Linked DNA regions of Medicago truncatula. Each later gene encodes a partner of the first gene's protein in a complex. Links are inferred from orthologs where the notes say so. Each region holds a gene or a part of one and is shown in the gene's direction. Other genes may lie near its edges.

Region 1 (8,168 bases):
CAAAATACATGATGTTATGCTGTTGATAAATTTGTAAATGAATGCAGGGACATACTTTCGAACTCATCATCAGTGGCAATTCTTTGTGATACCTTGGTTCCCTGGATAATGTCAAGAAGTTCCACCTATCATCATCAGAAAGAGCTACAATTGTCAGTTATGCATGGAGTTGAGAGTCTACAAGTTATAAGTTACAATAAACAACTATATCCAATACCAATAGCATAAATATGCATAGGCAGTTGGACAAACCAAGCAAAATGAGATTGCATTTAATCATTTGCCGTTCCACAGTTGGCAAATTAAAATGGATTGACAAATGCCACTGTCCAAATATCACAAAGCCTATTTTTGGATAATACCATGTTAAACACAAATAAGACTGGTAAGTTAGAATAAAACCTAAATCAACACTCTCTTAAAAAAATCATTACTTGATCAAATTAAACAATATAATCCTTTGAGATCATGTATCAATATCTATGTTAAAGGTACGAAAAATTGTGTATTCATCAGTTATTAGTTGATCCTAATCCTTCAATAAGACTGCTTCATGGAAAACTGTTTTCCTATGAATCATGTGTTGCAAAAATACATCTCTAACATTTCGCCATTTCGGTCAAGCCAGTAAATCTAGTAATCTACAACTAAAACTTTCCTACCAAAGGGAGAGGTGGATTACAAAATCTAGCATGGCATATTTTGCAACAAGAAGTTGGTTCTATGTGTCAAGTATGCAGCGCAGAAGGCACAGATTTACCGATAGAGAGAGCAATTACCAAAGATATAAATTCAAAGACTCAGAGAGCAAATGGCCAAAATACCAAGTCAGTGTCTTGTTACAACGCACACACACAATAACCAAATATGTTAATGAAAAAAGGAAATATTTTAAAACATGAGAGGCCGTGCCCCTGCAAGTATTTTACCTGAAATAAAATGCAGAAAATAAGAAAATACATTTTTCCTTTAAATTTATGGCAAAAAGGCCTCTCATAGGTCAAATAAAAGCCATCGTAAATATATAAAATAGTAATAATTCTTTTAAAATATAACTTGCACGTTAATATTCAGTATTCACTTGGCTAATTTTGTATTAAAGGCAATGTACATTTATGCACACATCACAGCATTACATTTCAAACTCTAATAGTAATGGATGAAAAACCAAGGCCCCGTTTGAATATACGGCTTAATTTGCAACTTAGCGCTTATGATAAGCTATTTTTATAACAAAAGATAAAGTAAAGTTAAATTATTTTCATATAAGCTATAAACTATTTTCATAAGCTATTTTGTAGAGAGCTGAAAACAGGTGTTTATGTCAATAGATAACCTCAAATAAAGGTTGGATTAGCTTATTTGAGCTTATTTACTGAAATAGGTTCTGTGATACTGTATGGGAGAACTTAAGAAAACAGCTTATGACAATTTTCAAAGCTTTTTTCAACTTATTTTCATAAGTGCTCTGATATACTCATAAAAACAACCTATAGCATATACAAAAACAATTTCTTTATTTTATCTTTTGCTATAGAAATAGCTTATGTGAACTTATACGTAAGCACTTATCATGATAGGTCAATCCAAACAGGCAGCAGATAACATCTGTGAGCTGATAAATAATGATTGGGAACATGTAAAATCTTGAATAGAAAAAAGAAAGAAAAAAAACCTTCAGTGTGGCTTTTCCTCGTCCTTCATGAGAATGATCTACTTTAAGAACCTGAACAAGTTCACAATATAAAAATAAAAAATAAAAAAAAAAAAGTCTTCAATAACAACATTGAATGAATGAATAGAAACTGATAACAACTCGTCAAGAAATGAATTATTACCTCGTAAATGCGCCCTGGAATTAAGCCATAAAATTTGTGAGTAAGAAGAAAATAACTAAATACGCGTAAGAAATTGATCAAATGAACAATCAAATACGAAATTTCAATTGAATGATAATAGAAAAAGCAAAGTAACCTTGTTTTCCGATCTTTTTTCCGACTCTGATCTGCAGTGAAAAATGTAAAAAAGTATAAGAATCGGTAAAGATTTAAAAACAGTGAAAGGTGAAGGTGATGCGATGCGTACATCAGAACCAACGATTTTGTTTCCACGTCGTTGAATGATGGACCATGGAGTGGTGAAGGAGTTGGTGGCGGTGGAAGAATGTGGTAATGAGTTTAGCGGAGAGGAATAAGAATGAAATTTGAATGATGAGAGTGTAAAGAGAGATTTGAAGTTGGAATTGTAGAGGAGTTTCAGTTTCTGCTTCATTGCAGCTTGCATTTTCTCACTCGAGCTCGCGCCGGAATAACACAAAAACCCTGGGTACCAAGTACGCACGCACGCACTTCTTAACAGATCGATGGAATATGAATATTATGACAATTTTGTGATTGAGCTAACGGTCTAAACTGTGATTTAAGTTTGAAGTTTGTAATAAGATTGATGTTATTTTTGTCGCATTCAAATTCTCTAAATTTCAGGTTTGTAATAAACTAATACTCTAACTTATTTTGATCATGCTTTAGTCATTATGTCACATTATTGTCGCATGTCACAGCATCTTATCTAATTATTTTCAAGGTTATTATTGTTTTTACATGTCATCCGGCTCTTAAATATTTTTGTTGACTAAAGTGGATTCAAAACCCCCGTTGTTAGGATGAATACTCTTATTGCAAGAGTTTGACTTGGAAATTCGAGATAAGAAGTGAGCAGAGAATGTAGTGGTGGATCACCTCTCGAGGTTGGAAAATAAAGAGTTGACCACGAAAGACAAAACTATTGTAGCAGAGTTCCCAAATGAACAGTTATTCGCTATCAGTGGAAGGTCATGGTTTGCAGACATAACAAATTTCAAAGCAGGGAACTTGATCCCCAACAATCTGTCGCAACAACATAAGAAGAACTTCTTAAAGATAAATGTGTGGTTGTGTAATGAAATGAATCAAATCGTTTAGAGAATGAACAACATATTTATAGGAAGAAAAAAAAATATCGTAAACCCTACAACGTTGCCAATAAAGTCAACAATTGTATGCATTTTTTATAAGATGAACAGTCATATATGAGATCGTGTGTGAGAACGTAAGAAGGGACATATATATTGATTCATACAACACCAAGCCAATTACCAAAAACACTATCCAATTTTTTTGTTACAAATCCACTAACAAGAAACTAATTGTCAAAATCATCTAAAAAACACTCATATAGCACGGTGGTTGAAATTTTCCAACCATGCCTTCATCATCTCAAAATCAAAACACCAATTGCATGAATTTAATTGAACTCTCTCTCTCTCTCTCTCTCTCTCTATATATATATATATATATATATATATCTTGTTATCCATTTTCGGTTTCAATTTACATTTTTTCCCAATCCAAGGCAAGAAGAAGCAAATAGTTTGTTTAAAGAACATAAAATTGAAATGAGTGAGGAAATTATGGGGTGAGTTCTAAATTGGTAGGAAATCGAAACTTAGTCACCGACACGGTGGTGTTAAGCTGCGATGAGGTTAAGAATCGATGGTGGGTCCAGATTCTGCAAGCTTCTTCTTAACTGGGTTCCGAGGACTATTATGTTTGAGGCGTCGAAACTGGTGGTGGAAGGGGGGACGACGACCCTTTGATGGTAAAATGTTGGAGGTGCCAAAATGGATGGTGGAAGATGAGGAGAATAACAAAGCTTTAAAGGAGGAAGGAAGAAGGCTTCAAAGGAGGAAGAAAGGAGAATCATTAACTTGAGATATGTGTCTGTGACTTTGAGAAGAGGAGCAGAGATTTGAGTTTGATTTAAGTGGTGGTGGATGACGGGGGAATAAGGGAGAGGGAGGATAATAGGAAGATGAAAGATTTAAAGGGTATTTTTGCAATTTCACGTTTGTTTGAAAGCCTCAAGGGTGTTTTGGTATGTTCCCACCATCTTTTATTGAGTCAACGAGCCACTTAACCATATTTTAGTCGTCGTTGTTATTTTTTTATTGATACTCAATGAGATTGTGGTTATCTCTTTTACATGAATCCTCAATGACTTCTTCCTTTTATAAAGTTATTTATAATTTATTATTTAACGAATCGTTGCAATCCTAAAAAAAAACAATCGTTGTAACAAAACACTCACCATACAAAAAAAAAACACACACGCTACATCAATTTTCTTTCTTATTTGTAAGTGACACAAATCATCACTCAAACTATAAAGCTCTTGACCCGACAATCAATTGCTGCGTCATTTTAGTTAGTTTATCTTTGTTTTATTTTTGAAAAAACACTAAAAGTTAAAAGATTTTACGCACCAATTAAACAAAAGATCGTTGACTAGTTAAACTGGTTTGAGCTAAAAGATTAAAAAAGTTAAATTGTTAAAGGTTCAAGTTTTAACAAGAAAAAATATTAACATAACAATTAACATATTATCGTACGGTTAAAAATGATAATTAACTGCAATCGGTTCCATAATTCGACACTTAACTGCCGATGAACATTTCAGTAAATTATTCGTGTGACACAACTTTATACAATGTGTCAACAACAATTATGAATAAATACACGATATACAAATACTAGTATTTTTTTTTTTTGACACCGATAAAAAGTAACATTGTCCAAAAAATACCTTGAGTCTAATTCAATGCTATATATAAACACCAACAACTCTTAACTCTGTCATGAATACTGGAACTAAGTTAAGCGCGGTCACAAATTTCAACTCTATCGAGAAAACAAAAAAAAAACCCTACACTCGAGTGATCTTTGCGGGAATGCTGAATGAAGCGATTTTCGTAATCGCTTTTCAGTTTAAACGGTAAGCGAAGTAAGTATCAAATCAAACTCAGTGTTACATTTTCTGAATCAGATTCCGAATTCGCATTTTCCGTTTCGCTTTTCTAGAGCAGAAGCACGTTTACGCTTCATAAGTCTCACCCAACCCTAACGCAGATCCAAAACCCTATTCAATTCACCGGAACCGTTCATCAGCTATGTGGACCAACGTTTTCAAAATCGTACGTTATTTCTTCTTAATCTCAATACTCTTCTTCACCAATTCTCATTATTTTGCGTGTTTAGCTGGAATATGATAGTTTAGGGTTCAATTTCGTTTTAACCTAGTTAGTATATCACAAAACATGCTTTCATTTTTTCAGCTGTAGTTAATCTCATGATGATTAAGTCGGTTAATTTGTTTATGAACCGAAAACTTTGTAAATTATCTCATGTTTATTTTCACACAAGGTGTTTGTGTTGTTTTAGTTAGATTTGGTTTGTGAATGTTTAAATTTTTCTTGTAGATATATGTTTTATACAAATGAAAAACTTATTTGATTATGTTACTTGCTTTTTTCTTTCTATTTCATCATATACTGGAATTATGATTTTTTTCCCCGATCAAGCGTTGTTAGGGTTTACTAGAGATTACGTATTCGCTAAGTAACTACGTCATTCGATATTTGGTTGCCATGGGCTGGAACACTGATGATTGTGACTTTCTGTCGCCTTCATAATCACGTTTGGTATTGGTCCTGTTGGATTATGTTAATGAAACTGCGAGTTAGCTATATCACCCTAGCTGGTATGTGAATTGCCTGATCAAGAACTCGTCTTATGTATAAGATGTTTCCTTTTCTTTTTGATCGGTATTAGTGGCAATGAAAAGCCGTGTGTAATAAATAACACGGATATGGCAAGAAAGGTGTTCGGCGGGTGACCAAATTACTAGGAGGCGACACGTGTCCTATCCGACTGTTATTTTTTATTTTTTTAAAATAAATAGTAAATACATTAGTAGAACAATAAAGTATCGGCTCGTATTAATGCTAGGATGATGACAAAAATATTGTTTACTTGCTCGATCATGTCAATTAATGTTGTGGATCGATATCAACCTTCGTCTTGGCCCACCTGGTTTCATAATATTGTTCTCAAATAGTGGATCTATTGCGTAGTGGAATTTTAACAAACTACAATTGTTACGCTATATGCGATTTAATTGTGACACTATAGCGCAGCGGAATTTTAACAATCTACTATTGTTACCCGATATGCGATTTAGTAAAAAGCACTATCAAATAGTGGTATAGCATAACAGAGTTTGAACAAACCGCTATTTCATCGTTCTGCGATTGACAGCACTAGGATATATAAAATAGAAGAAAAATTGTCTGTTAGTCTAATGAAAGATCTCAAGGTCAAATCTCCTTCTCCAAGAATAATATCATTTTTAGAAATGAGTGCAAAAGGTTAAATCTCAATGCTGCTGTTTAGTTAGCTTTTACCATAAATTAATGTATATTCCATGCTCCTCCATTTTTGTTCACAATTTATTTGGTTGTCTTTATATTTATATAACTATGTGTATATTGTTTATATTTATATAACTATGTGTATATTGTTTGAAATTTGTACAGGGTAGTCTGCATCAGATATCATGGTTTCAGTTTCTCCCTCACGAACCTGATCTGAACCCTCTACCTGACAAAAGGTTGGAATATATTTTCTATTTCTCTCCTTCTTTCTGCTTCACTATTTTAATATTATTTATGGGCCATCTTCTGTTCAAACAGTGTAAAAGCGGACCAGAAGGATGCTGCAATGTTAGTGGTGCTTTCATCACATTTGCAACTGCAGAAGGAAGGATTTCTCAGCGCATGGACCAATTCTTTTGTTGGACCGTGGGATCCATCTCAGGGTTTGCATAATCCTGGTAGAGATTGCTGACTTATTGGTTTTGTCATCTGTGATTATTTACAGTTTTATTGTCTTTTTAGCAAAAGGAAAGAACGGAAATGGTCATCCATTTTCTTGCTACCTAAATTTCTGCTTTCTGTACTTAACATGCAGATGAAAAGATTAAGCTGTGGCTTTTTCTTCCGGGGCGTCATTTAACAGTTTCTGAAACTGCTCAGCCAGCTTTAACTGGATTACGAGGTATCACACTTAACAGAACTGTTGTATTGGGCATATATGTAATACCCCGTTAAATAATAAAGTTCAAACAATATACAACAAATATTTAATAATATAACAATCCCATTTATAGATACCGGGATGTTACAGTATACATTTCTTTCGTCAAAGATAGTGGCTTTGTAGCTTTTATACTTCTGTGTTTTTTGAAAACACTCTTACACGGGAAAGTTTTTTGGATGAAGCTGTCGCGTCTGGGCTCTGGCTCGCTCCTGGGGATTCAGAAGAAGTTGCAGCCGCTCTCTCTCAGGCTTTAAGGAATTGCATTGAAAGGTTTTTCTCCCCCTCAATTCTTCAAAGTGATGTTAAATTTGGTCATATCTTGCCATTTATCTTGTTGAATTTGGCAGAGCACTGCTTGGGCTTTATTACATGAGATTTGGAGATGTATTCTTGAAGGTCCATCAATTTCAAAGTGAAGAACTGCTCAGGTATATTTTTACTGTACTTAGATTTAACACTTTTGGCTAAATTAAATCTAAATATTTCACTAATATTTACAGGGTTATGTACACACACACATATAACAAGTGAAATATAATCTGAAAAGGAAACATTATCCTATAATTTTGGAATCAAATCAGTTACCGACTATCTAAGGGAACTACGAAAGCTAATAATAACGAAATCTGATTGCAATCAACAGTACAGAAAAAAAAAGTGTTAGCTAGCCTTTACTTTGTCCCCGGGCAAGCGGAGATTATTCTCACGTTGTCAGTGGGGAACATTGTGGGCAGCCAGCAATGATCTGAATAAAAAAAATATTAACTTGTTAAAGAGCAACAAATGATGTGTTCCCGTTAAAAATGTAATAAGTTATTTTATAATAAGTAGTTGAGTCAGGATGCATTGACACCAGGTGTTAATGTTTATATTGACACCAAATAATAGCTGTTGATTTCTCTTAATCTAACGTCTCATATTCACTCACTTAAAAAGTCACGTGGTGTCTTCTTCTGGATTTTACTCATCGTTTTTTCCTTCTAAGTTATTCTAAAAAGAACCTCGACGTTGATGCTTCATCCATGTAAAAAGAAGCTCGACGTTGATGCTTCATGCATGTACTCTACTATTTAAATCTTAATTACACTATTTGTGTGTAAAACAAACAGTGATAAAGAAAAATTTCAATGCTCTGTCTCCGAAGTTTGTCAAACAACCTCAGAATAGAAAAGCTGGAACCGTTTCGAGGAATCACCG
Region 2 (6,926 bases), about 17 Mb from region 1:
CATGTTTCAGGCTGCTAAGTAACATTTCAAAAGAATTTAAAAAACAAGCAAAGCAAATTTCATGAAGTTATATGTCAATTGGAATGCAAGTTTGAAAACAAAATGTTTATGGAAATATGATATTGAAAAGTAACCAAAGTGCACCTGAGCACAAACGTTGAGCACAATTGGTTTTAGGCGAATGAGCAAAATCCGCAACGGCTGACCTCCTCGGGCAATGGCAATTTGTGCTACCCCAAGAAGCAAGGAACCAAAGAGCTCTTCACATGTTCTCAACTTCCTCCATCCAGATAGCAAGCACGCCTCGGCTGCATCTATCAGTATCGCAACTGCCTCATAAACCAATCTCTTGACGGATCTCGAATCAGAACCCAATGCCGAGAGGCTCTTGATTTTCATAGAAACTGCAGCTTTATAAACTGACAATTTGGTATTAATTCTAGCTTTTAGACTTGACCCCTGCTCATGCCAATCCCTCTTCCTTATCTGCAAGAACTTCCAGACATTAAAACATGTCTCACTCCTCAAATAAACCTAAACTTTAACCACTATAGTGGCACTATACCGCTATAGCATAGCGGTATTTGGACAAACTGCTATTGTTCCCCAATAAGCTATTTAGTACAAAATGTTATCAAATAGCCTCTATAGTGGCGATATAGCACTATCGCATAGCACGGAATTTTAACAATGCGTAATTGACAACACTAGTTTAAATTTTAACCTCACTCCACTATCCACATTCAACGGTGCATAAACCATGACGAATCATAACAGAGAAAATAAATACAAACTGAAGGCATTGTAAGAAAAAATGATTACCTTTAGAAAAGCAGACATAGACTGAATCTGCTTCTTCCCAATCAACCTAGCCTGCTCCAAAAGCGCAGGATCAACATGAACCTTTTCCAACACATGAGCAATCAATTTAAATGCAATTTCTTGTCTCTCCAAAAAGTCCACAGACTCTTCCTCAAAGGACGTAACCTGTTGCCCAGAAGAGCATCCACCACCATCATTTAAACCTAAATTTTGCGCCAATTGATCGGCATTACTCCTCCATATATGACTTCCCCCATTTGCCATAACCGAACCTCTCGATGAAGCGGTGCTAGCAGTGGCATCATCACCAGCAGCCTTAGAAGCCGCTCCACTCGAATTACTAGTCAGACTACCGTTATAATTGGTCTGAGATTGATGATTTCCACTCAGAGGCGAGCTCTGAGCAGAAAAATTATCGGAATTTCCGGCATTTTGCTCCCCGGGCGCGCTAGGAACAGCCACAGCAATCTGTGCCGCATATTGTTCAATCAAACAAGTAACCAATTTATTTCCATCGGAAGACGAAATAGGAAGAAAATTCTGCGACACAGCCATCAAAAAAGCCCTAGCAATAACAGAATCCTGTTCCGCAATCGCGGATAACACAACTTCACCGGTGAATCCAGCAACCTCGTCCGCGAAATCCGACGAAGATTGTGCAGCTTTGGAAACATAACCAATGAAATCGTTGAAGAAAGATGCAACGAAATCGGCGTTGAACGGTTGAGGCCAAAAGGAGTGAGTAAAGGAATGCGGAATTGAACGGAGGAACTCGATTGCGACTGATTTAGGTCGTAGATCGGTGGAATCTACGCAGTTAGATAAGAAACGAGCGACGGCGGTAACGGCATTGAGCTGAGAACGTGAAACCCTAGGCGATCCGGCGGAAAGATACTCCGGCGGTGGACATTTATCGCAAATCCACGAGAGTTTATCGGAGAATTGCGATGGATTTTGTGCAATGAGGTCGCATAATTCGATCAACGCTTCCATCACGAATTAGGGTGAAAATTCAAACGAAAAATGAGAGAATGTTGAGATTTCAGAAGAGATCGTGGCGTTCGATTCTCTCTCTAACCACGTACCAACATTGTTACTCTTCTTCTCGTCGTTGCAGTTTCCATGCCATGGTTAATGCTTTCTTTTCTCTTTTTCTCTTTCTTTTTTACTTTTTCTTTTTATATTTTTAATTCTTTTTTTTTCTTTTTCCTTTTGGGTTTGCGATAATTTTAGATTCGGGTTTTGGATTTGTCTAATTTGAACTAGAATTGGGGGTGGGGTCAGTGGGCCACGGCGTGTGTCTTGTGCCTCAGCGATACGGCATCCGTTTTCAGTTTCTCACGCGTGGGAATACATGGTGTTCATTTCATAATTATTTTTGGTTGGTGAATTCATTTTTCATGTTTTGAAGGCATTCGTTTTTTCTTTGTCACTACAATAAATAATGATAATGACTTTTTATCTATATTCTCAACTAGATTTCATCGAAATAAATATAAATAAATAGCTAAAGATCAAAATACGTCCTAGGGCCTTTGGAATGTATTTTTTTTTTAAATTTAAATTTAAACTCTCCCTCGTCACATTTATAAGCAAAAAGATAATTTTTTAGATAGTTATTCCATAAATTGTCTTAGAATACACAATGTTTTGAAGGAATCGAAATACATATTATGAGCAACGTTAAGAACATTTTTTGAAGTGTTATCGAGTATCAACAAATATGCAACATTTTGTGTAGAGCTACTACTAGCATGAGGATGAGACTGAGAAGATAAAAAAATCGGAGGAGCCCACAACACAATTGTACCAAGGCAAATAGTGATACCCACGTTGTACCCGATGGACAAGAAACATTGGAAGAAACATAAACAACAATTCACCGATATTTCTTAATCTAAGAACACTTAAATGAGATGACACAAATATCTTGCAGCTTAACTAATGTCATGAATTTGAATCCGGCATGGGCAAGCAAAAACGTTCAAACTCTTGGAAAGAGTTGATGATCACTGAGGGATTAACCTCCCAAGTTGTGAGTAGAGGATATCTGATTTACAAAAAAAAACAAAAAAACAAAAAAAATCTTTTAAGTCATGTTGAGAGAAGTTATGCCTAGGTAGCTCGAGTGTTAACCCACTTGGCTATATAGGAATCAAACTTTTTTGATTGTATTGTAACCTAATTTAAATTTGATTTGTAATTTCTTAAAAGTTTGATATGATCAGTGACAAATCCATAAATTTTAATAAGTGGGGTCAAGTTATATCATAAAAATTTATATAAAACTTTATAAATGTGTAAGCGTGTGAAAGTTATACAAGTTATATATATAATTGCCCTAAAATGTTGATTTTTTAAAAATATTTGTCAAGTTCTAGCGGAGTATAAAAAATATAACCATAATTAATTATTTTTGACCACCAACGTAGCGTCAATCACAACATTTTTTTAACAAATATAAGAATAGTTTATATTATAATAGTAGTTGTATGGTCTTGCCAACGATATGCTTTGAGATAATTGGTTAAAGATTTCGTAAAAGAAAATTTTATCTTAAAGATAAACATTATTTGTATCGATATAATAATTATAACAACTTTTTATAAAAAAAAAAAAAACTACTTCTTTTGATTTACTAACTAGTGCTCTTGTAACACTCGTTAGGATCCTTCTTAGTTTTGTAATTTTTTATAATGTAATAAATAGACTATGTAAAAACAATAATACTATATAAAGAGGGGTCAAACTATATATATAATTTTGGGTTAAAAATACAATACACATGTGGAGGCAAGTGGGGTCGCTTGACCCCATTGTCCCCACACTAGATCCGTGAATGCATATGATAGTTTTATTTTGGGAAGTATTATCATCTATTATATTATTTAATTATTTAAAAAAACTGTATTATTTAATTATACTACTATAGATATGACATTTTGTCAAAAAAATTAACAACTTAGTGGCAAACAAATAATCAAAAAATCTAAATAAATTGTCCAATTTATATTCATAAGGATTTAGATAAGAAATTGAAAAAAATTGGGCCGGAACCCGAGGTCGCCGGGCCATAGAACCGCCCATGCCTATTTATTACAATTTTTTTTTTAAGTTCTCTATCCAACATGTTGTTCCTGGTTTTTCCTTCTAAAATCATTTATCTTAATATTTTTCTCTCCATTTCAATCTAAATGAGTGATTTTTCACGTAGATCTAATTTTTTCTTCGTGATTTTGTCACCTGAGTGTGGTGATGTGTATTTCGTCGTCTTGTGCGATCATGTTTGATTTGTCGTCTTATTGCGGTGTTTTGATTATTCAATCAAAGATTTGAACGTCAATGTTTCAAATCCGAAGAATGGTATTCCGATGTACTATTGATTTGAATGAATGAATGTGGTTTTATTCTATTAAAAAAACAAACATTTTGTCACAAACAACTATAGACGATAATATCTGTTCAAAAAATGGTAAGTAAAAAAAAGAGAAATGATCAATTTGTGACAACTTTTGTACGGCAAAAGTTATGGTGCATAAGTTATTTCCTTATGCACCGTGCATAAACACATCACAACCATCATATTTCTTTTATTTTGAACAAAAATGGTTTGGCTCACATTGGAGGTGTAGGAAGCAATTATGTTGGGATTTATGCACGGTGCATAAGGATTTCCTTATGCACCATAACCACTCCCCTTTTGTACAACTTCCTCACTTATACTCACATGACCGTCTTATCCTCTCTTCTTTTTTTTCTCTCCATTATTTTTGACCAATAAGAAGAGAGAAAAACAAAGTTGTCAAATAATATCATTGCTCTAAAAAAAAATTGAGATGAGATTATAATCGCCAATCCACATCAATTTTTGAAGAGACCCACCCATTGTCATATTGGCTGCCGTCGCACTAACTTAAACTGCCTGTTTTAATCAAAATCTGCCCGGGATCGCAGCCGGAGTCTATCACCAGTTAGAAGACAAAATCCACCGTAAGTTTTTTTTTTTCCTTCTCCCAATTTTCATTTCCTTCTCTTGCAGCGTTATTTCTTAGAGTTGCGTCGCAGCAGATCTCCACTCTCTAGCGATTGCGCGCTCTAGCGGCGTGATTGATATCCTAGATTCTGTATTGTTAATTTTGATATCGTAATTTGGTCTTGATGATAATTTTTAGTGTTCACATGATTTATCTGCCCTTTTGTGTGTTTCATAGGTGTTTAACATCAAAATAAACAGGATTAATGGACAGTGTGGTTGATTCTCTAAATAGTGCCTATCTAGATTTTATTGCTGCAGCAGCAACTGTGCTGGAAGCAAGAGAAACTTCCACTGCCCTTAAAAACATTGCAACAGACACTGCTCTCGAAAGCTTTAAGCAAAAGTGGGAATTGTTTAGAGTAGCGTGTGATCAAGCCGAGGAGTATGTGGAGTCTGTGAAGCAAAGGATTGGATCAGAGTGTTTAGTGGATGAGGCTACAGGGCATGTGGCAGGGAAACCTGGACAAGCTACCATGACGGGTCTTCCACCAATCAGCGCAGTTCGCTTGGAACAGATGAGTAAAGCGGTTCGGTGGCTTGTGATTGAATTGCAGCATGGCTCTGGAGGACCTGCTGGTTCTTCTAGTTCAGCTCTTTCACATCCCTCGGCCCCTTTTGATGCCAGGTTTTCTGAAGATGCTGCTCAGTAGCATTTACCTAACTGTATGAGATTATTAATATTATTAATAATGTCTTGGATTTTATATTTTCACCGCTCAAAATGCACCCGACTTTACTGCTTTTGCCGTTTTTCTACCTGTTTAGTAGCTGTATGTTAAAGGATGTAACTTATGTGCACAGTGCATGATGCAACACTTCTAAGTTTTCAGTTAGTGATGCTTTGGTGTTTTATTGTTTTATATCCCACAAAGATACCGTGCCACCCTTTTGTAACTGAAGATGGATTAGTGTAAGATTAGGTTTGACCCACCCTTTTATTAATACCATATGCACAATTATGTAAGGTTTACCCATTTCCTTGTGATCCTGTGTTTCTGTGCCCTGTAAGACGAGGGTAAAATTAGGTAAATTGGGTTTGTAGTTTGTAGAATTTCAAACTTTGATTTTGTAGGTTTGCAATTGAGGCATATGAAGCACCATATTCCGATTTGTGAGAATCATCTTGATTGTGTGATTTATAAGTATGCTTCTTTTTAGTGTGTGTGTGTGTGTATCTAATTGTGTGTCTGTGTGTGTATTTGCCATTCAAAATTTTTAACCCCCATGAGAATATGTCTTCAGCTTAGTCTTTCAATAATCTCATGGTCTATATAGAGATTATTATTTTAATGTCATTTTCATGATTGAACAACCACCTAAATTTGAAAGACTAAAGGGACGCCAACTCATTCCTAAACAGTTCAAACTTCAAACCAAGGTTTATTTTTATACACAATTATTTATTATTTATTACACAGACCTTATTTAGTAGACCAACAAAACCTTATTTAGTACACAAACAATACCTTATTTAGTACACAGAAACAAGACCTTACAGTACTGAGAAATTCACAACAACATGAAAAGTATTGGGAACGACACAGACACCGATTAACAAAGATACAAACTAGTTCCCTCTTGTTCAGTTGGTGGCCTCTGGTGGGAGTGGCGCCCATACAATGTGCTTTACAGGGAAGAAATGACACAGTGGAGCTTCCCCAGGCTTCATTCCAAGTAGTTGAAATATAAAATGATTAGGATTCATGTCAGACGTGTCTAGGTGGCAAATGCCCAAAGCATCCATCATGTCTCCATATTGACCCCTTAGAAGAACTTTGAAGATCCTACTGCCTATGTCTAGGTAGTGGCAATAGTAAAGAGCATAAGGGTAAGGTCTAGGGTGACAAGCTACCCATTTAGGAGCATAGATATCCTTTGAGATTTCCAAAATGGTGTAGTTTTGCAAACGCACACCTGATGTTGTCGGATAGCTAGTTGTGTGAATGTTATATCTGGCCTCGGCACCGAGAACGCTGTGAACAAATTCAAGCATGGACTCTAAAGAAGTGGGACAGGCCTTGGTCTCCCCTTTTGTGGGTTCAAACTCACATTGATCAATTATGTCTTT
Region 3 (7,692 bases), about 7.8 Mb from region 1:
TAGCTACTTGTACCAACCTTGAATATTGATCAATCATAAACAGATTTAAAATATGTGAGGGAACAAGTTGAAGTACCATTTTGTGATGATCCTTACACACAATTGTGGCTACACCACTCCCACTTCAACCTCAAGCATCTACCAATACTGGATTTGGAGAAAGAACAACTAAAGGAATGTGGTCAAATCCAAGTTTTTTGATGCTGTGACGTGATCTTGATAATTGTTTTCTAAGATGAACAATGGATAAGGCACATAACTGACAACCTACTGCTAGTCCTATGTAAAGTATGTTTTGGGGAGATGATTTTTGAAGCATGATTCATAATGTTCATGAAATAATACTTGAACAATAATTCTCAACCAACCTTAATATTTTCCTAAAAAAACTTGGCAATAAGGTGTATTAAGGTTATAGCTTACAAGTCACAATAGACAGGTTATTTTTTCATCTTATTCTAAAAAAGAAGTAGCCTTAATAACTTCAAGTCAAAACAGGAAAGAGCAATTGGAAATGCTAAACAATGAATAAGTAGTAGGTTGAAATAAAAAATAGCTCGGACTAAGATAATCATCGAACGGTTAGGCTAAGTTAAATGCGGCAAAAGCTAACACAAACATCCTTAGAAACTGCTATCAAACAAAATATTTATAAAATTGTTTATAATAACAAGCATTAAGCTTAGCCGCAAAACAACAAAGGCCATGAAATTGTATATAATAAGGAAGAATGTAATAATAAAGGCATTCAGCTATACACAAACCAAAGAATTAAAGCAACATAAAATAGAAACATTAACTACTCCATGGAATCAAAACTGGGAGCATACCAGCCCAATTGATCATTAATTTGCTTGAGTCTTGCTTCTTGACCCTTTGAATCTCCAAATGCAGTAGTGAAAGGGTATATATAAGTCACTTTTGCTGCCATACACCTAAAGGCAACCACATCACCTTTCACCAGAAACTCAAGTACGTCTCTATCAAATTTTCCATCAACTTCAGCTTGCAGATACTGTCCTGTATATTCATTTTAGCATAAATCAAGTTTTGCCTAGTAGCTTGTAAAACCAATGTTTTAATTAACTGAACCATACATCAAATCAGAGAGACCTATAGGTCATGGTTCAACAACTTTAAACAGCTCAGATATAGACGAAACTGCAATCGGATCGTTCAAATAACCTAACTGTAGACAGTGCTGATTCACGATTCAAGCAATTGAACTGTCTAGTTTGGTTCAGTTTTTAAAACATTGTGTAAAACAATTAACCCTTCCTTATTGTCTTTGGCCTGACCTAGATAAAATCATTTATAACGTAATACATAAAATATATTACAACTTTCCTTGTTCATCACTAGAGTCTAAGAATAAACCATCAATTTATTTCTTAAATTATCACACTCTCTTCAATTTAGTCCTGAAAACGTATAAAAATTATAAGTATTGAAGTTGAATTCGAATCCCACATTGACAGTGTTCCTAAGTTGTGCAATGTGCTGTGTGCATATGTGTCTGTGCACCTTCATCTTACCAGCTAATTTTTGAGAGTGAGATTCAAGCTCATTTGACAAGGCTTCAAATCTGAATTTTGTAGGGCATGTGGAAAACGAACCTAGGCATTGTATATAAGTAGTGCTTGGACTCCCTCATTTGATGAGCTAGCTTTTGGAGTCCATTTAACAATAGTCCCTAAAATATATAAAATTCGTCATCTTAGTCCCTCAATTGATGGTTCTTTTTCTTATACTTCAATATTATTTAATTATCATGTTCTACATTTTCATTGCTAATTGGCTACAATTTCTAGCAAATAACAACAACACCAATGGTAAATTGATCAAAAACAGAACTGTGTTTGAATTACCATCTGGGGTATCTTCCACGGGCTGAAATTTCACATTTTTCTGAGTCTCTAGAATTGCTTCACGTAGTCTCTGAAAAAGAAAATTATGAACAATCACAACATGAGATAATAAAAATACACAATGCTTTTTGAACTCTGAGTAATAGCTTAGAAACCTGAATAGCATTATCCACTGAATTTTCAGGAACCGTCCAAGGAAAATCAAAAGATGATGACTTCGGGTTTGTTGATATGCAACCAGGATTTATTGATGGGCAAGGTCTAATTTTTCTGCAAGAGAAAGGTTACAAATAATATTATATAGAATCCATGGTATTAATTATGAAGCATATATTATATAGAATCCGTTAAGCATACCCATTTTCTAATCCAAGTTGCAAGTTTTTTGATTGAGAAAAAGGGGTGGTACTAAGAGTGGTTGGAGGGGGTTGAGAATTGAGGGAAGGGATTGCATGAGAAGGTAGTGGAGATGTTAATGTTACAGCAATGGCTAGAGAGAAGAGATTTGGTAGGAACTTTTGTTTATTATCAGAATTGAGTTTGGGAATGGTGTTAGTGTGAGTTTGAGGAAGAGGATGGAGAAGACGAAGTATCAAACTCATGATTTTTATGGAGTCTTCTATCCACTCACTGCATCATGTTTTTGCTCCATTCTTTTTCAGCCATAGGTGACGATTGTTCTGTTGAAATGTTGATCCTTTCTGAAAGGCTGTTATTGTTCACCACATAACAAAAGAAAAATATAATGTATAAGGTCTAGGATTTGTCAAAACAATGTAGTTAGAAAGAGAGATCTTAATAAAGATGGTTAATTAAGTTCTTCCACGAAAATTAAAGACTATGACTCCAATAGTATAATTACAAAAGTGAAAGATCTCAATTGTCATTTTTTAGTTTGATTAAAATAAAATGTAGTTGATGGTATCCATAAATTTCAAAACAAACACTTATAAGAGCTTTCCTATATACTACGAGAGATATATCGTGAAGACATCACGATAAGATACATATCAATCATAATATATTGTTTTGCGCAAAACACGATGTTTGGGTGCAATACAAGTGAGTAAATACATGCAGTACTCTTTTCGTGAAAATTTTGCTTGAATTATGTCGCGATAAATAACATTTAGAACTATATATTTGTCCTTCAATCCAAAGAGAAAGGTAAGCAGAGTATAATTGTGTATCATTCCTACTATTTGAGGAGGTATACGTAATGGAAGGGATAAATCTTTGAGGAGTCGGATCATTCAGTATCGAGGTTGTAACGTTGGTAGCAATCCCTTCCATCCTTGCTTCTTGTCTTTGTCTTCGTATTAAAAGTCGCTACTTGCTGGTTGTTGCAGAGACGATGATCCTCTAACTAGGTCAAACATCTAATGGATTGGACTTAGGCTCGATGCCTAACAAATCATGGCAATCAAATTCCATCCCCGATTGTCATGCTTTGAATCATATTCCACCTTGTTTCATCCTATGTTGCCTCGCTTTGAATCATATTCCACCTTGTTTCATCCCTCGTTGCCTCGCTTTGAATCATACTCCACCTCGTATTGTTGAAACTATTATAAATGTGGACAATCATATATTTCTTATTATCTCGTCTTATTACATTAAACCATTTTTCCCTTACAAGTCTTATATTTGGGGGATTGTGGATTGTCATAAAAATATTCCCATTTTGACCCATGCTTGCTTCATGCTCTTTGTACTCGACCCATACCCATATGATAATCCTCATATTTGACCATACTACTACTATCTTGAGAGCTCTCTTACTCAGTCAAACCACTTTGATCCTTTGACATGATATTAATTGCGTAGTGGAGTGATTTCTAGAAGATCCCTAAATAATAAGAGAGGAAGTTAGGGTGACAACTCCTATAAATAAAGTCCAACTACTCATAATTGAAATCTACATCCTTCACTATCTCTACAAACTTGGGGTTTTTATCACGATACACTATTGACAAGATCTTACCTCATAAAGAAAATGAAATGTCACAACTCTCTTTTCTTATACAACATTTTTGTCCGAAAAAGTTTAGAAAAATAGTTCAAGTTGATCTCACCGCAAATCATTTGGGTTAATTGAGATTCAACATATACATTATAACTTATATTTTTATAATTTTTCAAATCTATTATTCATTTTAATAATAATCATAGTTGTAAATATATACTTATATTTAATCGTAATAGACAAAACAGTCGATATGTCCGAGTGGTTAAGGAGACAGACTTGAAATCTGTTGGGCTTCGCCCGCGCAGGTTCGAACCCTGCTGTCGACGTTTTCTTTTTTCATCTCATTTTTAATTTTTTCCGCCATGCTTTTGTTTTTTCTACTCATTGATAACGATCAAAGTTAGGGTTTGCAATTCCTGAGACTCATAAGATAGATAAACTTCGCATTGGAATGGAAGAACAATCCATAAACGGCACAATGTCAACCAAAACGACACAAGATTTAGCAATTGAAGGTCACAAATACTTAGAAGAAACCATACAACATGCTTTCAAGATACTATCTTCCATGAACGACGAGCTTTGCAATCCCGTTTGGTGGTCCACTTCTCCTTCCTCTGCTACCTCTCCCAATGCTCCTTCTTCAAACGGTGACGCCAATTCCGAGAATTCCGGCCAACACGCTGACGGCGCTGCTCCCAGTGGTGGTGCTGGTGGAGCTCTTGATGAAGCTCGTTTGAGGTATAAAGATGCTGTTGCTGGACTTCGGAGTGTTCTTGCCGCTATTCCCAATTCTCAGAAGGTGCAATTTCGAATCCCTAGTTTTCTAATTCGGGTTTTATTGTGTGTTCTTTTTGTTACTAGATCTAGATTTTTTGAATCATTGAACTTTAGGTTAGTGGAAAATCAATGAATTGGCAAGTCCAAAACTTAATTTTTAAACTCTTTTCTGCAGCAATAAGAGTTGCCAAGTTCATTGTAAAGATTGTATTCCTAATCTTATTTTTTCTTAAGTAACTATTCATCGATGCGACACACAGATTACCTTTTGCTATATATAGGAGAGAGAATCAAGTGAGAACTCATGCTTCTCTTGCACAAGCTCTAAATAACAGCCGCTCAATCGAAATTAATGGTCTGATCTCATTAAAATGTCACGCGTCTCCATATTCTCATCCCCTACCTTCATCCTCGCTTGACATATGCGCTCATCTTTCTTTGATGCAGCTACAATGAATTGCTTAATCAAATTTCAAAATGTAATTTGATTCTAATCTTTTCTAAAAATATTGTTTCCAGGCCAAGTAAAAAAATTAGGAAATCACAAAAATAGTTGAGACTAAACAAAAACAAAGATGCCACAGTCTTGTATCAATGAAAAGCTCGTGGTTATAATCATTTAATTCAATTAAATAAAAGGTGGAAAAAAATTGTAGGGTAGTCTTAGCGTTGATAGGTAATGGATAGAATTATGCAATGCCACTCATGAGAGACCATCGATTAGAGCATACAATACCGTGTTCATATGACAGAGTGGATAGTATTGTTCAGGTTAATGAACAAAGGGGAAAGATTGAAGATCACTACATTTTTTTTAATCCTAAACATTGATTTTGAATCTTTGATTAAACAGCTACTATTGATGGTTCATATGTATCACAATAAATATAGGTTATCACTTAATATGCTCCCTTTTTTTGGCACACACTTAATATACTTGTTCTTATTTTGTTTTCTATTTTATAATATTTAGATAGGAAACCATAAAAACAATTCAGTACGTCTTTCAAATTTTTTTCCGAATATTTCAAAATAGGAAAGGGAATGAAAGCAATGTGACATTTTTTGTAATTATTGATAAAAATTGGAAATTCGTAAATCACACAGGTCCTTTAGTGGTCACTGTGACTAGGCCATGCTTTGGCATATTCTTTGCGATTGATGTTGTGAGTCAGTTTCATAAGTTCATAACTCTCCTAGTGGTGATATCTGGGATGCAATTATCTGAATTTTGTGATACTTTAAGGTCTCTCCCAGGAAGGATTTAGTATTAGTATATCACAGGCAATGTTCATAAAATTACAGTCGTGTATAACGTTGTTGACTGGGATGGATCTCCCAATCAAGTAGAACATAGTTGCCAACTCATGTGGTGAACTGGAGTATTGAGTCATAACTCGCTCTACGTTAGAACTTTTATAAATAGAACAACTCCAATATGAAATGTGATTTATGTTAATTGTTGAAATTTGGGGCCTAACTCATCCTTAAAAAACCGGCTTGTATTAGTATTAGTATATATCACAGGCAATGTTCATAAAATTACAGTCGTGTATAACGTTGTTGACTGGGATGGATCTCCCAATCAAGTAGAACATAGTTGCCAACTCATGTGCTCAACTGGAGTATTGAGTCATAACTCGCTCTACGTTTGAACTTTTATAAATAGAACAACTCCAATATGAAATGTGATTTATGTTAATTGTTGAAATTTGGGGCCTAACTCATCCTTAAAAAACCGGCTTGTAAGGTGAAGAGTGCCTCCTCTTTATAAACTCTTCTCAAGAGGGCTATCTATCCAATGTGGGACTAAATCCACCCCCTCAAAGCCAACACAATGAAGGTGTTGGAGGCTGCAATGAAGGCTAACCAAAGGTCGCAATTTAGGCGACTAGGGGCGGACCGCAATTAAGGCGGAATTTCCAACATTAATCTGTGATGATCTACCAACACCTCATATTGCTTCAAATCTGGCTTTCCGTACGATATTAGGATGAGCTAATAGAAAAGGACAGCAGGAGGTATTAGGATGAGTTTCTTCACCTTGAGTGAAAATCTGAAAATACTTCAGATTCAGAGTTCATCACCTTGAGAGGAAATCTGAAAATACTTCAGTTTCAGAGTTCGGAGATATAAATTGAAATCTTAGAAATGAAGTACGACTACATGATGGTATTTTTTTCTACATATGCACAAGGGCTTTAAATTTATACCACAGATAAGTTTAACACATGATATTCCGGTAATAGCGTAACATGATGAAAAATTTGAAAACTCCTATTTATAGAACCTTATAATGTTGCAGCACCGATTGGAGCATTGAGTGGGCTAACGAATGAATTTTGCTTTTTGACTTTGACTATGTTTTATTACTTAAACTGCTTAAATTCAATAAGTAACTAGCTATAGTTTTGTTCTCTGAATTTTTAGCTAATGAATTGTGAGTTTCAATTCCTTTAGATATCTTTCTGGCTTGGTAAGAGACAATAAAAATCTCTTTACACCAAGGTTTGGTTTGATGTCTTTTTAAAATGGGGTTGAAAATCTTAACAGCGACTAAATGAAAAACTTCATGAGACTGTGGTAAATTACTAAATAAATTCCGAACTCACTATTTTTATATTATTGCACCTCTATTATACTGCTAGGAAAAAGATGCTGCATTAAAAGAAAATTCTATTCAGAAATCAGTGTCTTCCTTACATAGACTTAAGACTCCATATTCTGTTAAATGATCGGGGTTATTGACTCACAAACGTGCATCTTATTGCGAGCTGTATGACCATCATATTAGCTAGCAAAGCTTTTGTTTTCCTGTTAAACTAACTTGGTTAGTATTATAGGCAAACACATTTGACGGTGGTTCAGCTGACAGCCCTATGGACGAAGCTGAAATTGAGAAATTGGAAGAGCAAGCCTCTTCTTTGAGAAAGGTTTGTTGTATTAACCTCTGTCTCTATCCTTGATCACACTCTTTCCAAACCCCAAACATCGAATTTATTATTTTAGTCTCGGGTTTTACTGTTTTAGTTCATCGGAAAATACCTTTTTCATCAAACTATGTCAGCTGCAGTT
Region 4 (8,017 bases), on another chromosome or scaffold:
CAATAAAAGGAAATTAAGCAAAGTTCCAAATAGCAGTTGTGATGGATAGCTCAAGGTAAGCTCAAATTCTTCTCTTTATCTATTAATTCAGTTATCATAACAATGCATTTGATGTGTTTGATAAAATGAATGAATGAAGAAATATTGTTTAGTTTTTGGTAAATTTTTCCTTAAATGATGTTTGTGTTGATAAAAGTAACAAGCACTTCCAATCCAAAGGTAATAAACTACACATATATACAACAGTGATAAGAGCGTATGTACAAGAAGCAAAATATTTCGCTGCACATATATTTTAAAGTGTTGACACCATTGTTGAAGTCTCAAATGATCTTTATATGCATGCTCAGTGATAGATTTTTGGCAAGTGTACCAAAAGTATCGAAGTAGTAAAAATATCGTTCCCACAAGGACTGATTTTAATCTCAATAATTCAATTACGTTGTAAATTAGGATGTATAAATGTTCTTTTAGTTTGCCACTAGGCAGTTGATTGGGTTGTTTGCATAAGTAATAACAGAAAATAAAGATTGGTTTTAAGAATAAAAGAGAGATGAGATTAGGTCTTTTGAATCATCGATGTTCCCCTAATTGGTATACTGCACCTATTTGTATTAATGATTCTCTAATTCAACGATAGTTAACAAAATAGCTCTAATCAATCCCTTGAGTTAGGACCCTCTTCTCAAACTACAGCCCCTAATTCCTTAGGTGGACTAATAATCTTTGAATGTTTTAAAAACGTTAACCTAATATCACTAACAAACGATTATCCATTCCTAGATTAACCATGTTTATTAGAACAATTCAATTAGGTCTAAATCGAAAGTTATGGTCAGTAGTCATTCGTTCTCACTAAATCATGTTTATATTTGATCATAATATAAAAAGCATTAAGAACAATTAAATTGAATAAAAACTAGATTGTCATTAATAATAAATAGAGTTTCACAGCAACATGGATCAATTAGGGTTACAAGGATTCATCTCAGACCTAATCTTTAAGAGATTTAGCTACTCATAATTGAGTTTACAAATAGCATAATCAATGGAAGAATTAAAACATACATAAACTGGATTAGAGATGATGAAATCGCCCCTTATGCAGTCTTCTGGGTGTTAAAATCGTACTTTAGCTCTCCAAAATCGTCACCCTTATGTTTGGAACTGACTTCAGCTTAAATAGGCAAATCTGGATGCGCGCAAAATCGCGTTACGGTTGGCAAAATCGCACCACGATTTCTTCAAAACCCTAAATTCCTTCCAGATCCTTCCTTAAAATCGTAGCGCGCTGCTCAAAATCGTACCACGATTTCAGCAGTTCGAAAACATGCCTCTCTGGTCAAAAATCGCATCACGGTAGTGAAAATCGTGACACGATTTGTTGCTTTCAGTTCTTCTAAAATCTTTGCTTTTAACACCCTTGAATACTCCATATTGCACAGAACTCTAACAAAATTGTCAAAATAAATCCTAAAAATTACGTAATGACAGCATGTCATCACTCAGTGTTGTCAATTGATGATGTTTAAGCCTGCAAGGGAGATTTTTATTTCCCTACGAGGTTCAGAGGAGAAAAGGTTGAATTGACTTAAGCATGCAGTTGATAACCCATTGCCATTCATGAATATGTAACTTGGAACCTGTGTGACTAGGAAGTAAGCTAGAAAGTACTATGAATTAAGAAGTAATCTAGGAAGTACTAGTAACTATGAAGCACTGTTATATTATTTAGTCTTTAATGTTGTAATGTTCCATTATCTTTAAATTAAGAAGTAATCTAGGAAGTACTAGTAACTATCAAGTACTGTTATGTTTTGCCTTTTAATTAGGAAGTAATCTAAGAAGTGCTAGTAACTATGAAGTACTATTATGAAGTACTAGTAACTTATGTAATGTTTCTATACCTTAATGAAGGCTTATGTTGTGTGATAATTATGCTTGTATTTTTTGTTCACTTATGTTGTTCACCCATCCTCCATAAGCTCTATTTCAGTTTTAACTGGTTATGTATAAGCTCTATTTTTTGGTTCAATTTTAACTGGTATTTTGGCTCTGATTTGCTGGTTTTCTTGTTCAGTTCTTACCACCCTTTTGGTTCAGTTTTACTGGTTTTTTCAAAGCAGTTTTTACCACCTCTTACTTAGGACTCATTGAATGCATTAGACTGAGTGTTTATGTTTCAAAGCATGTTTCTTATGACTGTAGATTGTGTGACATTCAAAGCATGTTTCTTGTGACAGTAGATTGTGTGACATTATGATTTCTTATTGTTCTAACATGTGGGTTGCACTTATTTACATTGCAAAGGGACCGCATGCATACCCCAAAAAAATATCACAACCACCCAAAGCAAACAAGCAAGCACCCAGGCTGAAAGCTGATGCATCAGCGCCCCAAACAGAAACAGAACCATAGCAAAAAATTATGCTGTCATCCCTCTGATACAACACCAAAAGCGCAGTTGCTACAGCAGCTCCAAACCCAGAAATCAAGGACACAATCACGACCGGATAGGTGGCCTACTAAGACACTCATTGTGTTTCTACACTTAAAAACAATATCTATTGAGATGCAATTCCATGATTTCTGATTGTCATACACAACTTTATTAGAAGGAATGCTGATATGGATGTTGATTTCAATCGATATGAGGATGAAGACATAACCCTTGATCACGATGATTATCGTAGATCAGTTAATTTGGATTTATCTCAAAATTTAAATATAGCTTCTTCATCTGAGATGAATCATGTTCGAGATCAAATTATAGAGTTCAGGAAAAATAATTAGTATTGTATTAATGTTTCAAACTTGTACCACACTTTATATTATATTTTCTATTTGTAATTTTAATTGAGTACTTCATGTTTAACGTATATTCCCTGCATGTATTTTTATTTGGATACTGTCTGATTAACAAGTTATGTTAATCTTTCCCTAAAAAAATAAATTTATGTTAAGCTTATAATTTTATTGTCAATTTAATAAAAAAAAAAATAGATGAAAAAACTAAACAAATGTCAAATTTTATAACTATATACACAGACACATGTTAAAGCCCATTTTGATCTTTTACACATCTAAAAGCAATTCTGACACAAAACATCCAAACAACATTTTTCATACAAAGCACTTCTGTTTTGAAGGTAACCAAACATAAATTACTTTACGTTCAACTCACTTTTAACCAAAATCAATTCTATCAAAATCAATTTTTTCCACCGCACAACCAAACACACGCTGAATGGAGTACGATCAAAGGGAAGAAAAAAATAATTTAATTTTACGCTACAATTCAAAAAAATTAATATTATGGTTTTTCTTAATATTATGGTTGTAGGATCCACTATCAACCTTTTGTGTGCATCTCTCTCCATTTGTTAAAATAAATGGAGAAGATCCTTCTCCCATTTGGCGAGCATTGTGGCATGAAATTGAGATAATTTGGGGTGATAGAGTCATAAACCTTGTGGTGTAGAGGGACTTTAAAGTTATAATTGACATAATTATACATTAGATTACGGATGATCACAAAGTCATAATTAATTGAATTACACATGAGATTACTATTACACATGAGATTACTGACGATCACACATTGCCAACCTTAGTCTTCGAGTGTTAGTGAAAATGGATTGACACGTCAAATTCAACCATATTTGCAAGAGAAAGTATTATGTACATCGTCGACCTGCAAACTTTGATCTCAATTTAAAGAATACTCCCTCCGTCCCATAATAACTAAGCCATTTGCATAAAAATATTGCCCCAAAAAAAATTGACCCATTTCACTTTTCGGTACAACAATAATTACTTTTTTCCAATTATAATTCAAATTAATACTACTTTAATCACTCTCAATTCAATATATTCTACTTTGCGTTTATGATAAGAAGGAATGCACCGATACTTAACAAGACACTCAAAACTATTTCTCTATCTTTCACTTATACACTTTTTCTTAATATGTGTGAAATGAACAAAATACTCAGTTAAAAGGGGACGGAGAGAGTATGAATTTACTCATCTTGAGATGAGTTGAAGTCTTGAAGATCTTCTTAGTTGGTGATACATTTTTACTAGGATTAACCATTAGGGCATCTTTGGCCTTCTTTTATATCAAAAAAATAAAATAAGGGTTAAATATGTTTTTTCAACTATAAATATATCAAATTTTCTTTTTGGCTCCTCTAAAAAATTTCTTCAACTTTTAGTACACCAAAAGTTTTTCATCACTAGTTCACCACTTTTAATCTCTCTTTTTAAGTTAACTCATATGTAGACTTCATATTTTTAATGAAATTTTACGTTACTGAAGTATAATATTATAATAATCTCTCCAAACTAAATAGATTTTTAATAAAACATGAATGAAATATAAATTTTAATATTTTGAACACTTAAAAATTCATATTTAATTAATATTTTATTAAAAAATTCTAATTTTTTTGAGGTGATTGTTATTATAATATTATAGTAGACATTTTTGCATAATTTCATTCAAAAATATAAAAACTACATATTAGTTGATTTAAAAGTATGGATCAAAACAAGTGATGAAAAATTTTCAAGGTGCTAAAAGTGAAAGGGAATTTTTAAATAAATTAAAACGAAAAACTAATATATTGATAGTTGAAAAAAAAAGAAACATATTTTACCTAAAAAAATAATAATTTGTCGTCTAAATTCTCAAGTTCTGGGTTTCTTCTTTCTTCCCTCGTTGCAATAGCGAAGACCCTGAAATTGAAAAGCAGCGGGTTTCAGTGACATGTTTGATTTCAATTATCTCGTTGCATACTAAACAATTACACTAAATCCTTAACTTCCATTGTTACGAAACGCACACATCTCGTCTCACTCACAGCTCTCCAAGGTATGTGTGCCTTTCTCTCTGCTTCGATTTCTTCTATGATTCCCACAGTTGATTCGTTTTCTTGTTCACCATTATGTGTGTTTTATTGGTTTTTGTTTTCTGGGTTTCTAGTTTGTTACCACAAATTCTTATCATTGCTCATCAATTCAAGTACTTTTATTCTTTATTTGTTTGCCCACCAAATGTTTGACACAAATACTCACACAACCTATAGTCTTCTGAAGTGCTTGAATTATCAGTTTGTGTTCATGATTCCATCACATTGCATCTAATTTATTCAACTAGAGTTATAATCTATGTTTACATGGCAAGATGATGGGCATTTATTGGATGACGGTGTAAACTATTTTACACAGTTGATGCACTTCCATTAAACTTGTCATTTTTTGCCCTTCTTGTTTGTTCTAATTTTTCACAAATTGACTTATTTGGGGGAGCCAAATCTGCTTTTATATTGCGGCGGGACATTTTGCAGTATTTTGCGGCACAGTCCATCGTTGTAACTTTGCGGTGGTTAAGTAAAACAGTCGTGTTAACCGCTGCAAACAATAAGCAGCGGCAGTTGTGCAAGAACCGCTGCAATCCTTTTGTTGTAATCAAACGATTTTATTATAGTAGTGTCAGTAAGCAACTGTGGAAAAACTACAATTTTAAAAGGGGGGGTAAAAGAAAAAATAGAACGTATTAGAACAAACAAATAATAAACCATCAATTTTGTCCCTGAACTATCACCTTATCTTCAAAGAGACACTACCCTCCACCCCTGTTTGGGGTAGGGATCGAAGTCTCGACCTCCTTTTCATTCCACTCCTTAACATACACACCCCTACCACCAAGTCAACCTTATAAACCCAACTTAATGATTCTTCACTGCTTAATTCCCCCACCTCAACCACCAAACCAACTTTATATCTTCCAATTTCACTCCTTTGTGATATTTTCCATTTGTATAAACTGCTTGAAATATGTGAATACTTATCTTATTCTAATTTTAGGAGTACCTGCTGTTTTGGTTACTCCTTAAGTATTTGACAAAAGTGCTGAATTTCATTTTGAATTGCTTAACCATTTTATTTGCACCCGAGGCTAATTTTTGTTAATGCTTGGTATGGAGACTGATCTATGTTTTGGAAATTTATAAATACTTTGATGTCAGTGGTACTTGGTGCTTGGTGTGGCAATCCTTTGTGGATGGTTGGACTGGTGTGTTTACTCTGATTCCAGTTTTCTGTGATGTGAAAATGCTGTTTGCGGAAACCATTGTCTTTCTTTGGATTTTATTTTAATCAATTGCTAGCGTTGTTCTCTTCTTGCATGACTGGTCGCCATTGTCAAGTGTTAATAGGCATTAAAAATTGATTCACTGGATTTAAACTTGTACGTGCATTTGCATGCTGATTGATTATAACATATTCACTGGTTAATTGCTAACAGGTTGTCAAATATTTTATTACCTGTAAGAAAATATTCAAATTATATATTCAACGGATAATTTGGTGGCTAATTTACCCTAAATTTTTATTTTATTTTAAATGCTTGTAAGTGTAATTATCTATTGATTGCATAAACATGTTAAAAAGTAAATAAAATTCTTGTTTTCAAACTCTGTAAAGATTTACTTTTCTAATTATTTCTATTGTTTGATTATAAGTTTTTGAACTATTTTATTATTCACTTAGGCTTGGACTTAAAGCTACTGTCTGGTCTCACCCACATTTTCTTGCGGGCACGGAAGGTTTTGTGGAATTTTTTCGGGCAAACAAACTTTTCCAAAAGATGGAAGAGGGCATGGAGTTGCAACTATCCCTTGACAAGCTGCCGATCAAGCGCTTGGATTCCATTGAAGAAAATGGAAATGAACGATTCCCTTTGTAAGCTTCTTCCTCTCCTCCTTTTTATTTCTCAACTAGTATTGAGAACCTGTGCAACGCTCGGGGAAAAATCCTAGAGTTATGCTATCTCTCATAAGAATGTTGAACCCTAATTTCTATTTGTGCTTGGCTTTTTGTAACTCCCTCCGTATTGTTGCAGAGATGTGGATTACGATGAAAAGCGAGTTTCTCTAATCAGGAGAATTGACTTCGCTTGGGCCATTGAGAAGGACGAGGAAAAGAAGAAGCAGAAGAAGAGCTCAAAGGAGACAACACCATGGCAATGGCAGGGCATGGTGGAGAATTTGCAGTTGGCTCATCAGGAGCTCTCTGTTATCATAGATTTCATCAACACTGTGAGTCGCACATGTTTCTTTCTACAATGAATCACCGCTTTTTATGATTTCATCTACATTCAGAAATCTTCATGTCAAGTTCAAATTTCTCTCTGCATATCTGTTTGCAACAATGAAGATAATTGCTTGAAGTTATTTGGTTTCTGAAAAAGGTCTGTAAAAAAGCTCCATTTTTATTTTATCTTTTATAAAAGCTCCATTTGGAACTTGCTCTAAAAGAAAAGAAACAGTGTGTGGCTTAAGAAAATTATGTTTGTGTCATTCATCCAGGGATGAAATTAAGTGTTGAGAAAATGTCTATGAATGTCAACTTACAATGCTTTGAGAAGTAGCAGTTCCGGGTTCATCAAGAAATGTATCACTTCATATAGTCTTGATGAATCTATTTGCAAATGACCAAGTTTTTGGCATTATGAGTAGAAACCATGCTTTAGATATTTTTCAAGATTTTTTTTCCTATGGCCCAGTTCATTATATTGCATGATATGTGCAGACCGACAATAAAGGTATGTTGTTTTGTTGAAATTATTCTGCTTAGGTGGAAACCAACGATGCAGTAACTGTGGCTAGCATGACAAGGCCAAAATCATTACCAAATGAAGCTTTGTCCGACCTTGCTGTATCTGCAGCCACCAAGCTTCAATGCTACCGTGTAAGTACTCTTCTATCTTCTTTTGTAGTTAATTTTTTTAAAAAAAATTACTGTAGTTTGTTTCCAGTTTATTTATGTCCGTAACATTAAGTAAGTTCCCTTTTCGCTGAATTTATAGCTTGTTTGCTCAAACTAAAAAAATAAAACTGAAAACATGGAGCATATTGAGTCTCTAATAACTTGTCCTTGAGTGACAAGCACAATTTGTATGACTTTTATGGGGGACCTGTAATATGCAATAACGTTTTTGTACAAACATTCT

The links.
Region 2: mediator of RNA polymerase II transcription subunit 13 (region 1) and mediator of RNA polymerase II transcription subunit 32 share a complex: the UniProt entries of both Arabidopsis thaliana proteins name them as parts of the mediator complex. The link is inferred for Medicago truncatula from reciprocal best matches to the Arabidopsis thaliana genes GCT and MED32.
Region 3: mediator of RNA polymerase II transcription subunit 13 (region 1) and mediator of RNA polymerase II transcription subunit 30 share a complex: the UniProt entries of both Arabidopsis thaliana proteins name them as parts of the mediator complex. The link is inferred for Medicago truncatula from reciprocal best matches to the Arabidopsis thaliana genes GCT and AT5G63480.
Region 4: mediator of RNA polymerase II transcription subunit 13 (region 1) and mediator of RNA polymerase II transcription subunit 17 share a complex: the UniProt entries of both Arabidopsis thaliana proteins name them as parts of the mediator complex. The link is inferred for Medicago truncatula from reciprocal best matches to the Arabidopsis thaliana genes GCT and AT5G20170.

What each region holds. Positions count from the first base shown.
Region 1 is NC_053044.1:41,139,664-41,147,831, reverse strand, and holds the start of mediator of RNA polymerase II transcription subunit 13, read left to right. Parts: upstream 1-4,664; 5' UTR 4,665-4,818; exon of another isoform or gene 4,819-4,943; 5' UTR 4,944-4,984; coding exon 4,985-5,008; intron 5,009-6,409; coding exon 6,410-6,483; intron 6,484-6,565; coding exon 6,566-6,705; intron 6,706-6,842; coding exon 6,843-6,929; intron 6,930-7,153; coding exon 7,154-7,241; intron 7,242-7,318; coding exon 7,319-7,399; intron 7,400-8,168. Other genes in the region: elongation factor P, read right to left, coding at 56-125, 1,676-1,726, 1,839-1,852, 1,975-2,005, 2,086-2,283. UniProt on the Arabidopsis thaliana protein: Component of the Mediator complex, a coactivator involved in the regulated transcription of nearly all RNA polymerase II-dependent genes.
Region 2 is NC_053044.1:57,777,298-57,784,223, forward strand, and holds mediator of RNA polymerase II transcription subunit 32, read left to right. Parts: upstream 1-4,651; 5' UTR 4,652-4,812; intron 4,813-5,033; 5' UTR 5,034-5,061; coding exon 5,062-5,508; 3' UTR 5,509-5,899; downstream 5,900-6,926. Other genes in the region: phosphatidylinositol 4-kinase alpha 1, read right to left, coding at 1-14, 145-486, 823-1,815; BURP domain-containing protein 9, read right to left, coding at 6,441-6,926. UniProt on the Arabidopsis thaliana protein: Component of the Mediator complex, a coactivator involved in the regulated transcription of nearly all RNA polymerase II-dependent genes.
Region 3 is NC_053044.1:48,894,957-48,902,648, reverse strand, and holds the start of mediator of RNA polymerase II transcription subunit 30, read left to right. Parts: upstream 1-4,216; 5' UTR 4,217-4,288; coding exon 4,289-4,639; intron 4,640-7,460; coding exon 7,461-7,550; intron 7,551-7,692. Other genes in the region: thylakoid lumenal 17.9 kDa protein, chloroplastic, read right to left, coding at 800-1,020, 1,869-1,938, 2,024-2,138, 2,226-2,470. UniProt on the Arabidopsis thaliana protein: Component of the Mediator complex, a coactivator involved in the regulated transcription of nearly all RNA polymerase II-dependent genes.
Region 4 is NC_053045.1:55,066,039-55,074,055, forward strand, and holds the start of mediator of RNA polymerase II transcription subunit 17, read left to right. Parts: upstream 1-4,666; 5' UTR 4,667-4,876; intron 4,877-6,551; 5' UTR 6,552-6,652; coding exon 6,653-6,747; intron 6,748-6,907; coding exon 6,908-7,103; intron 7,104-7,641; coding exon 7,642-7,755; intron 7,756-8,017. UniProt on the Arabidopsis thaliana protein: Component of the Mediator complex, a coactivator involved in the regulated transcription of nearly all RNA polymerase II-dependent genes.